Linked DNA regions of Callithrix jacchus. The protein of the gene in region 1 purifies or fractionates together with the protein of each later gene. This does not show direct contact. Links are inferred from orthologs where the notes say so. Each region holds a gene or a part of one and is shown on either strand. Other genes may lie near its edges.

Evidence for each region.
Region 2: the proteins of GLS (region 1) and SIRT5 purify together in Homo sapiens (affinity purification with western blotting; 3 studies listed by BioGRID and IntAct, with this or other methods). This does not show direct contact. The link is inferred for Callithrix jacchus from reciprocal best matches to the Homo sapiens genes GLS and SIRT5.

Annotation. Positions count from the first base shown.
Region 1 is NC_133507.1:37,843,994-37,849,088, reverse strand, and holds part of GLS (glutaminase kidney isoform, mitochondrial), read left to right. Parts: intron 1-2,013; coding exon 2,014-2,075; intron 2,076-3,012; coding exon 3,013-3,089; intron 3,090-3,183; coding exon 3,184-3,247; intron 3,248-5,095. UniProt on the Homo sapiens protein: Catalyzes the first reaction in the primary pathway for the renal catabolism of glutamine. Plays a role in maintaining acid-base homeostasis. Regulates the levels of the neurotransmitter glutamate, the main excitatory neurotransmitter in the brain.
Region 2 is NC_133505.1:17,071,615-17,076,709, reverse strand, and holds part of SIRT5 (NAD-dependent protein deacylase sirtuin-5, mitochondrial), read left to right. Parts: intron 1-1,824; coding exon 1,825-1,912; intron 1,913-3,371; coding exon 3,372-3,425; intron 3,426-4,527; exon of another isoform or gene 4,528-5,095. UniProt on the Homo sapiens protein: NAD-dependent lysine demalonylase, desuccinylase and deglutarylase that specifically removes malonyl, succinyl and glutaryl groups on target proteins.

The DNA.
Region 1 (5,095 bases):
TAGATAAGAAATCAGTCTCAGAAATGAGGAAGCCTTTGCTTTGAGAGTTGAAAACAGCTTTTTATCTTTTCAGCAAAGTTGTAGTTAGGATCTTCTGTTTCTAGGGGTCTCCATTGATATTAAAGGACTGAAGAAAGTATGGCGGGAACCAAGAAGAAAAACTGTCAAACAGTAATGAGAGACCAGGTGGAAATATGGAGGATAATCTCTAATAGCCAGTCAGTATTCTGTGACCCAAGAGAAAAAAGGGAATTGAGAATTCAGAATTGACCCCATTAAAAAAGAAAGATCTTAAGGGAAACAATGGGTCATAACCCAGAAGAGTTTGCATATCAAAGTCACCAGGAGACTTTAAACAAAATTTTGGCTGGGCATTATCATGCCTATAATCCCAACAATTTGGGAGGCTAAGGCAGAAGGACTGCTTAAGGCCAGGAGTTCAAGACCAGCCTGGCCAACATGGTGAGACCCCATCTCTATTAAAAAGAAACTCTATGCATTTACTTCCTTTCCCTAAAATGTATCAAATTGAGGTATAGGAGTAGGACAACAAGAAATGGGAGAGATGTTTATGTATGCTTTTAGAACATTCTGGGTGATGCTTTTTAGTTCTTTGCTCCACCCCCATTCCCCATTGAGAAAACTGTTCTGGACTGTAGGGACTAACTATAGGTACAGGCTGGGCAGGAGTAGGAAAGGATGGCTGGAAGGGAAGCTAAAGCACTGAAGGAGTAAGGGGTTAAGGTTTTTTTATATCAACACAAATAGTAATAGTAGTATTTTGGGGGTATGCTCAGCTAGTTAGGTTCCTTTACTGTAGACCTTGACAGAGCCTTTCATATGCTCATGAATCTCCAAGAGAGGGATTTAACATTTTAAGATCATATCCAACCACAGGACCCTTATTTTCGTGGACCATTTTGTGGGCTAGTTTCTGGAGATTACACTTTGAAAATGCTGAATGAGAGAACTGCAGCAATGGTCAGTTCCAGTTAATTTGGAAAGTTCATGGGTTGTGGAAGGGGGAGGCCATGGTGAAAAGAGTGTCCAGGTTAAGGTCTTGAAGCACAGTTCAGGCTGTGGTTTTGTTGATGGAGAGCTGGATTACTTTCCATTCCTCCAGTTAAACTTCTGTTTTCTACCATTGAGTCCAGTATCAGTTGAGTCATCAATATGAATGTCAAAGTTGCAAAGTATAAGAGAAAATGGGGAATTTATGAAGTATTTACAAATATTCTATGACCAATAGTTTAATTTCTCATAGATAGGGATGGATAAAGTCTTTATGACAGCAGATCAAAATCCAGTGGCTTTTCAGATAACTAGTCTTTTCCTCTTACCTGTAAGAAAAGGAAAGTGGGTAACTGTCAAAAGTAGATACACTGAAATCTTGGAGCAGGTAATAGAGATGACTTAATATTTTTGGAGTTTAGAAGCCTTTTAAACAGATCAGTGTCGTAAGTTCTGGGAATAACCCAATTTGTACCACCTGGGCATTGAACTAAAGGCTATCTTTCCAGTGAAGTAAAGTTTAAGATGATAATTAACACTGAATGTTCTCTCTAAAGATTGACGAAGAAGCCAGTGATTGTTGAGGACAGAGATTGTTGGCAGGGATTAGACATTTATACAGCATGATTTAGTTTTTAATAATGTGAATTTTATCAGCATACAAACTTGCTCACAATATTGAGAGATACAGAACGGGAAGGCTTCTAAACAGTTTTCAGTTGCTCCAATGATACAAGTTTCACAAAATTCCACTTTTGTGCCAATTAATATTATTCCATTCCTTCCCTCATGTATCTTTATTCTTGAATTTTCCCTCGCAATCCACTGTTAAAAGAAGAAAATACCACTCGTGCATTCTTTGGCTATAGAAGTGTACTTGAGATAACTTTTTGCACATGACTCAACTGAAGTGTTCAAAGCACATAAAAATCACTTATCAGTGACAGGTCGCCGTTGTATGTGTTTTGCCCTATGGATACCTAAACTTTCTTTTCTTCACAGGTAAAGTCAGTGATAAATCTTTTGTTTGCTGCATATACTGGAGATGTGTCTGCACTTCGAAGGTATGTTTACAGGATGGATTAGCATGCACTTTACAGATATCTTATGAAGTTGCTTCCAGGCCGGCAGCCATTTTAAGGTTAAAGCCTCACTTCTTTTTCCCTTTAATAAAAATGACCCCAACAAAATTTTTATTATATCAGCACTTCCAGTGCCTCAGGCCTGCTGTCCAATCTTGTCCTTTTCTGCCTCCTGAAAAAAAGACAGTATCTCTGTTTCCTCAAGTAGTGACTGTTCAGCGAATCTGGCTGATTACTATCAGTGGCTTACTGGAATTGGATGATGTCTTCTCCCTCCATTCCCCATCTTTGGTGTGTGTGTGGGGGCGGGGTGGGGAGAAGCAACTGGGGCGTGTTGTGTCTTGCATTAGCAAGGCCATACCAGCATTAGCAAGGCCATACACTGCTGTACACTTAAGGCCTTTTGTGTAGAGCTGTAACTGATTTTCTCTTTCCTTTTCTTTTTGCTCCCATTAAGGCCTCTTAACAGCTGATTTTCAAAGTGGAAAACTGTCTATGCATCCCCTCCTTGTTTTAAAGTCTGACTAATATACTTGTAGACTGTGAAATGTTCAAGAATGGGAGTCTTAGTAAAAACATACAACTTTATTATAGTGATTAGTTTCTTGCCATTCTGAGATATAAACCTTGGTCCAGTTGTGGCACAAATCTTGATTTTTGAACAATAATGTAATAAAGCTCAATTTTGTGAGAGGTAGTTAACATTTAAATCTTACCTAAAAAAGCAAAGCTGAGGAAGAGAGGTGAAGTGGCATTTACCCAAAACACCTGTGTACTGGTCGTAAGGTCTGTAGTTCCCATCAATGAACCTGATGAAAGATGGGGCACCTGTCTGACAGGGCCTTAGATGACTGATGCAGTGAATGTTAAATTTGTTTTCTAAAAATCCACGGTGAACAGCTGTTCTTACAATTTTCAGATTTGCTTTGTCGGCTATGGACATGGAACAGCGGGACTATGATTCCAGAACAGCACTCCATGTAGCTGCTGCAGAGGGTAACACAGAAACTACTCATCTCTTTTCTTTCCACATTTAATTTCTACATTGTACTAAAATCTGCTTTTCTTTTTCTGGGGTGGGACGGTATAGGTCATGTTGAAGTTGTTAAATTTTTGCTGGAAGCCTGCAAAGTAAACCCTTTCCCCAAGGACAGGTGAGCACTTACGTTACCTTCTAAATATGTCAGTATTTTGTTACGTAGGAATATAATGGTCAAGTGGTTATAATATTTAAACCCACGGAGACATTCTTGAACCTGCCGTGATAGCTTATAAAGTCAATATACCTTGTTACTGCTAGATAGGTAATTCTGTCTCCCATATCCTGTTTCTTATCTAAGAATTTTTAGAAATTTTCAGGTTTGACTATCAGTCAATACACTGTATGAAGAAAACAATTTGTTTTGGCATTTTGGAAATGAAAATCGGAATTTTGTCCTCGTGGGGTTTTTCACTACACAGCGTAGACAAGATAAACCTTTAGAGAAGCATAAATTTTAAGATGATAATTAACACTGAATGTTCTCTCTCAAAATTTGCAAAGAAGCCAGTGATTGTTGGCAGAGATTCAACATTTATATAGCATGATTTAGTTTTTAATAATAATGTGAAATAATGTGTTGAAATTTCTGGATTTGGTTGGGATCAGTTTTAGAAGGCTTCATGGAAGTTAAATTTTAATCAGTGCTTGGGGGACAGATGAGATTGAAGGCACAGAATGAAAAGAAGGGCCACTCTATGTATAGTGGGAGAAATATGCCTAGAATATAGTCTGCTCTTCTCTCTTTCCTGGTCTGCATAGCAAACTGCTACTCATCCCTCAGCAAATGCTGTCAACAAAGTGGTCAGGGAAATAAGAACACAGCTTACACACATACATGGTACAGTAAACTCTGTATTCGTATCCTTGGACATTATGTACTGGAGTAGAGTGGATAAATCCGTGAGTGATGAGAATAAAAGTTTAGAAGAATGGGGAAAAACATACTTGATGGTGGTTTGATACGGAGAACCGGGAGCTGTAATCCAGTTTGGAGCAAGTTGATTACTCTTTAGCTATATTGTCTTTCTGTTTATTAAGCTTTTTGTTTTTTGAGACTGGGTCTTGCCTTGTCACTCAGGCTGAAGTGTAAGTGGCATGATCACAGATCACAGTAGCCTTAACTTCCCAGGTTCAAGCGATTCTCCCACTTCAACCTCCCGAGTGGCTGCAATCACAGGCACACACCACGCCTGGCTAATTTTTAAATTTTTTGTAGAGTTAGAGTCTTACTATGTTGCCCAGGCTGGCCTCCAAATCCTGGGCTCAAACAGCCCTCCCACTGCAGGCTCCAAAGTGGTAGGGATTACAGGTGTGAGCCATTGAGCCTAGCCAACTATCTTATTTAAAATTAGGGCTTGGGTTTTGTTGGTTAAGCTCTCAGCTTGCAAGAAACGCAGAAAAGTTATGTCAACGTCTGACAAATGTTAGCAGTTTTGTAAGTGTGCTAACACTCTGATTACCTAACTTTATTTCTATAGTAAAAAAAACATGATTAAAATGACCTTTATTGGCAGTATTCTAAAACCTCATGTAGGATGACAGTCCTCCCTTTCTCCCAATTTTAATACCCATCCCAGCTTTCTAGAGTATGAAATTGAAGAGTTTTCTTTCTGCGTTTACAATCCCAACTAAAATACTATAACACTATGTATACATGTTGGAAATTACTGTGCTTTGTATATGTGTAAATTTTTTTTTTGCCCTAAATTGGCCTCTAGAAATGTAGATGTACCTGTCTGATAAGAAAAAGTGAGCTAAGTAACTAACTTGATAACTAGATATTCAACAAGTCTTCTTTATTTCATAGAATCAATGTTGCCTTAAATTATAAAACTGGTTTGAGCAAAATTCGTATATTCTTTTTTTTTTTTTTTTTTGAGGCAGAGTCTTGTTCTGGAGTGCAGTGGCTTGAGCTCACTCATGGGAATCACCGCCTAGGTTCAAGCAATTCTTCTGCCTC
Region 2 (5,095 bases), on another chromosome or scaffold:
TCAGTGGCATCTTCTGTCTGATGAAGGTTTTTTTTTAAGATGCATCATGTTTTTAATGTGGCACTTAGAATATAATCTGCCTAAACCATGATATACTGTTATTATTCCTTAGAATTGTTATTTTATACTTAGAGAAAGAGCTTATTAAAACTGAGACACCTTCTTTAGAAATTTTATCTTTCCAGGCATACATAAAGCATGAGCATGGTCCAAATATTTCTCATTATCTAGCTCTTCTGAGTGATTCTGAGTGACTCAGAGCATGGATGGGTCTGTGTTTTCCATGCAGTTTCACGCTCTGTACCTCAGGAGATGGATGATGCAGCCTTTCTTGAGAGAATGCCCCTCTGTTACAGCTGGGATTCTCATCCAAGCTTCTGACACACACTCCACAGGTGCGCTATTGAGCCTTTCATGCTCTTACCAAACGGTGTCAGTGGAAAGGCTGTAGACACAGCCAGAACTTGCTTTCCTCCCGGAAGTGGCCCTTGAATGGTTTGTTGGTGGAAGTATCCAGAGGTTGTATCTGCCCGGTCAGGCCACGGAGAATAACAACCAAGTCACCCCACTTTTCAGTGTTCTCCTTCAACAAGTCTGTGCAAGCATGTTGGTGAGGTCACACTCTCATCTGGCCAGTAAACGGTAGGACATCTGAATTTCAGAGATGTGAAAATGGGAAAAAAATGTCCACAGTAAAACTGACAAAATAGGTTTATTGGCTCACAAAACTGAGGGGCCTTGGGGTGCAGCTGATGTCATCTTTTCTTCTGGCCTCTTTCCCACTCCTTCTCTCAGCTTTGCTCTCTCTTTGAGGTGACCTCCCTTTTCCCTCTGCAACTGATTTGCCTCCACGTGCCAGGGGAGAGGGCCTCTGGTTTCAGGCTCTCCAGCTCAGCCAACTGCTCAGAAAATAAACCTCTGGGTGGGCTTTCTTGGTCCGCACACCCACCCTTCTGACCAAATGAGACTGCAAAGGGATGGCCACCACATGGGACCTGTGTGGAGCATGTGGTCAAGCTTGTATTTGGGATGTGACCCACAGCCCGATTGGCTCAGCATGGGAGAGAGCAGGGATGGTACTCCCCAAGGAAGGACTGGTGGGCAGAACAGAGCAGTGCATGCCCTCTGTGGTTTAAAGTGCTCTGCATGGCACCCGGTGCCTGGCCACCATTTCACAAACTGTGGCCACCATGATAGCTTCAGTTCAATAAGTGGTGGCTAGTATTAACAATTACTTTTTTCATTTATTAGTTGATTACTTATTTATTGATCTGCTTTTGTATAAAAGATTCAGGCTTTCTGAAATCAAAGTTAAGATTTTGTAAACATACCCCACACCATTGAAACTTTATCAGTCATATCAGTAAATTATGCCCTTAGATTTAGGTCAAGCTCCCTCTACCCTGTTGGCCACTTCTGCCCACTTGAACGCCACTCCAAGGTCATCCGGCCGCACATTAGTCAGGGAGATAGCTATTTATCCTCCAGATTATAAAGTCCTTGAGGGCATATGCTCTTGACTGGCTTAAGAGTACTGCATGCCTCTCTGTTTCCCGTGAAAGCTAGGGGAGGCCCATTTGCTAAACTGAAGTATGTCTCAGTGGGGCAGTGCACACCTATAGTCCCAGCTACTCAGGAGGCAAGGTGGGAGGATTGCTTGAGCCCAGGAGCTGGAAGCTGCAGTGAGCTGTGATCGTACTACTACACTCCAGCCTGGGTAACTGGATAAGACCAAAAATGAAATAAAGTATGTCCCTTTTAGACACGGAGACAGTTGCTCTTGATTATCCTAAATTCTGGACTTGCTTCATATGTATTTTTCAGGTAGCTTATTTAAAACTCGATGTACCTCTTGTGGAGTTGTGGCTGAGAATTACAGGAGTCCAATTTGTCCAGCTTTATCAGGAAGAGGGTAATTATACCACACTATAGAATAAGTATATGTTGTTTTCTCCTTTAGGTTGAATATAAATGTGAGGAAATTGAACATTTACCAAAGATTCCCATGGGTATTTATGAGAAATAAGACTAAATACAAGGCTGGATGCAGTGGCTTATGCCTGTAATCCCAGAACTTTGGGAGGCCAAGGTGTGAGGATTGCTTGAGTTCAGGAGTTCAGGACCAGCCTGGGCAACATAGTGAGACACCTGTCTCTACCAAAAAAAAAAAAAAAAATACAAAAATTAACTGGGTGTGGTGGCACATGCCTGTAGTCCCAGCTACTAAGGAAGCTGAGGTGGTTGGGTTATTTGAGCCTGGGAAGTTGAGGCTGCAGTGAGCCGAGATCTTGCCACTGGACTACAGCCTGGGTGACAGAGGGAGATTCTGTCTCAAAAAACAAAAAACAAAAAAGACTAAATATAGCCATGTGATAAAAGAAATATTTTGCTCACAACTTACAGTGTTAAGTGAAAACCACAGGGTCCTGAACTTGTATAATATGATCCTAGCTTTGTATTAAAACACACACACACATACACACACACACACACTCTCTCTCTCTCTCTCTCTCTCTCTCTTTCTCTCACACATACACACAATGAGTTTGTATATGTGTATATAGTTAAAATACAACAAAATGTTAATAAGGAATATCAGGAGTGGTGGGATTATGGGTAATTTTTAATTTCTTTATATTTTTCTGAATTTTCTTACATTTCTATGATGAACATGTGCTATTATTACAATGAGGAAAAAAATTGAGGGTAGACCCAATATTGAGAAAATTCCACTGAGTCATTTTAAAATAGTGTAAACTGTGTATGACTGTATGATGTGATTGAGGATACAAACGATGGTGATGTGTGAAGGTCAACGTGAAGCTCCCTGAGTACACCCAGCCACTCTAGCCCTCCCCACACATGCATTCCCTCACTTGCAGGACAACCACTGGTGATTTTTTTTTTTTTCTGAGACAGACTCTTGCTCTGTTTCCCAGGCTAGAATACAGTGGTACAATCACAGCTTACTGCAGCCTCTACCTCGTGGGCTCAAGCAATCCTCCTGCCTTAGCCTCCCAAGTAGCTGGGACTACTGGCACGCACCACCACACTGAGCCAATTTTTGTATTTCTGGTAGAGACGGAGTCTCACTATGTTGCCCAGGCTGGTCTTGAACTTCTGGCCTCAAGCAGTCTTCCCACTTTAGCCTCCTAAAGTGCTGGGATTCTAGGCATGAGCCTCTATGCCCAGCACCACTGGAAATTAATGGCTTGGGGACCTTCCTTCTAATGTCCTTCCAAGTGAGCATGTATTACTTAGGAGTTTTATATCACATATTGCCAGGCAAATATACAAACTGAGTTACTTTATTTCTTTATTTTTTGATTATGCCAATAACAATCTTTCTTGTCTAATATGATTTACTTCAGTGCTCCAGAACCTGGAACTCAAGATGCCAACATCCCAGTTGAGAAACTTCCCCGGTAGGTAAAAAACTCTGATTTGTACTAGTGTTCCAGGTTACAAAAAAAAATAGACATCGAAACCTAAACATGCATTTGGCAAGATGCCTCCTAAACCAAGTGCACAGACGTAAAAACTAGCCTTGACCTCTGAGACCAAAAGTGAAAGCGCAAAGGATGAACCAAGTCAGGATGAAAAGAATGATTTCTCTCCAACCCCTTTTTGCTTTGTGTTCTGGCGGGTTCATTTGAGGTCGGGGAAGTTTCTGAAGCTGTTGTGCGACAGCTGGTTAAGCAGTGCACAGAAAGCACAGGCGCTGACCTGTGCCTGGTCAAGTAACATCACTGGCACGATTAAGCCAAAGGACCTGAATAGGAGACGTTACAGGACTAGACAGAATGTTCGTAGATTAAAATAAAAAAAGGAAGATTTTTATGCCAATTTTTCAAAACCAGACATTAAAACAGCACTTCCATAATCTATAATTGGATTAGAGGGTTTTTTTTTTTTTTTTTGAGATAGAGTTTTTGCTCTTGTTACCCAGGCTGGAGTGCAATGGCGCGATCTCGGCTCACCGCAACTTCTGCGTCCTGGGTTCAGGCAATTCTCCTGCCTCAGCCTCCTGAGTAGTGGGGATTACAGGCACGCGCCACCATGCCCAGCTAATTTTTTTGTATTTTTAGTAGAGGCGGGGTTTCACCATGTTGACCAGGATGGTCTCGATCTCTCGACCTCGTGATCCACCCGCCTCAGCCTCCCAAAGTGCTAGAGGTTTTTTTTTTTTTTTTGAGATGAAGTCTCACTCTGTCCCCCAGGCTGGAGTGCAGTGGTACGATATTGTCTCACTGCAACCTCCACCTCCTGGGTTCAAGCGATTCTCCTGCCTCAGCCTCCTGAGTAGCTGGGATTACAGGGGCACCCCACCATGCCCGGCTTATTTTTGTGTTTTTAAGTAGAGACGAGGTTTCACCATGTTGGCCAGGCTGGTCTCAAGCCCTTGACCTCAGGTGATCTGCCCACCTCAGCCTCCCAAAGTGCTGGGATTATAGGTGTGAGCTACCACACCTGGCCGGAGTAGAGTTTTGTTTTTTAAAGTAAAATAAAACAGCACTTCTAAAAATATTCCATAGAACATTAATTTAATGTGACATTGATGGACATTACTTGAAAAAAACATGTTAGGCACTCAAATAAATATGGAAATATTAGACTAAACCAAGTTAAAATAGGTTTGCTTTGCTGCAGGACTTTTCAGAGCATTTAATCCACATCGCTGCCTTCTAAAAAGTGGTTATAATGTGTATGTTAATACTTTGCTGGCTTTTTTAACCACAGAACCTTTCTTATTTTCCTTATGAGGGGTTTCATTGCCAAAGTTTAAAGTTTTCTTCTGAAGAAATAGGGAGATCTGGAGGATTCCTCTGATGTAGGAGATGACTATGATGAAAATGGTCTTTGGGAGGATGATTTTAGGTGTATAAAACGTGACCCCAAGGTACGAGGGAGTGAAAGATGAGAGATTTTGGTAATGGACACAGGAGAGCTGGCTACATACTGGGCCAGAGACGTGAACCTGAGACAACATGAAAGGAGGTCATTGATGAAATCGGGGATGCTTGGGGTCCAAGGCAGATCTGAGTCCAGTGTGACTCCCAGGTCTAGGGAGCTGTGAGCACAAGTGTGAGCATAT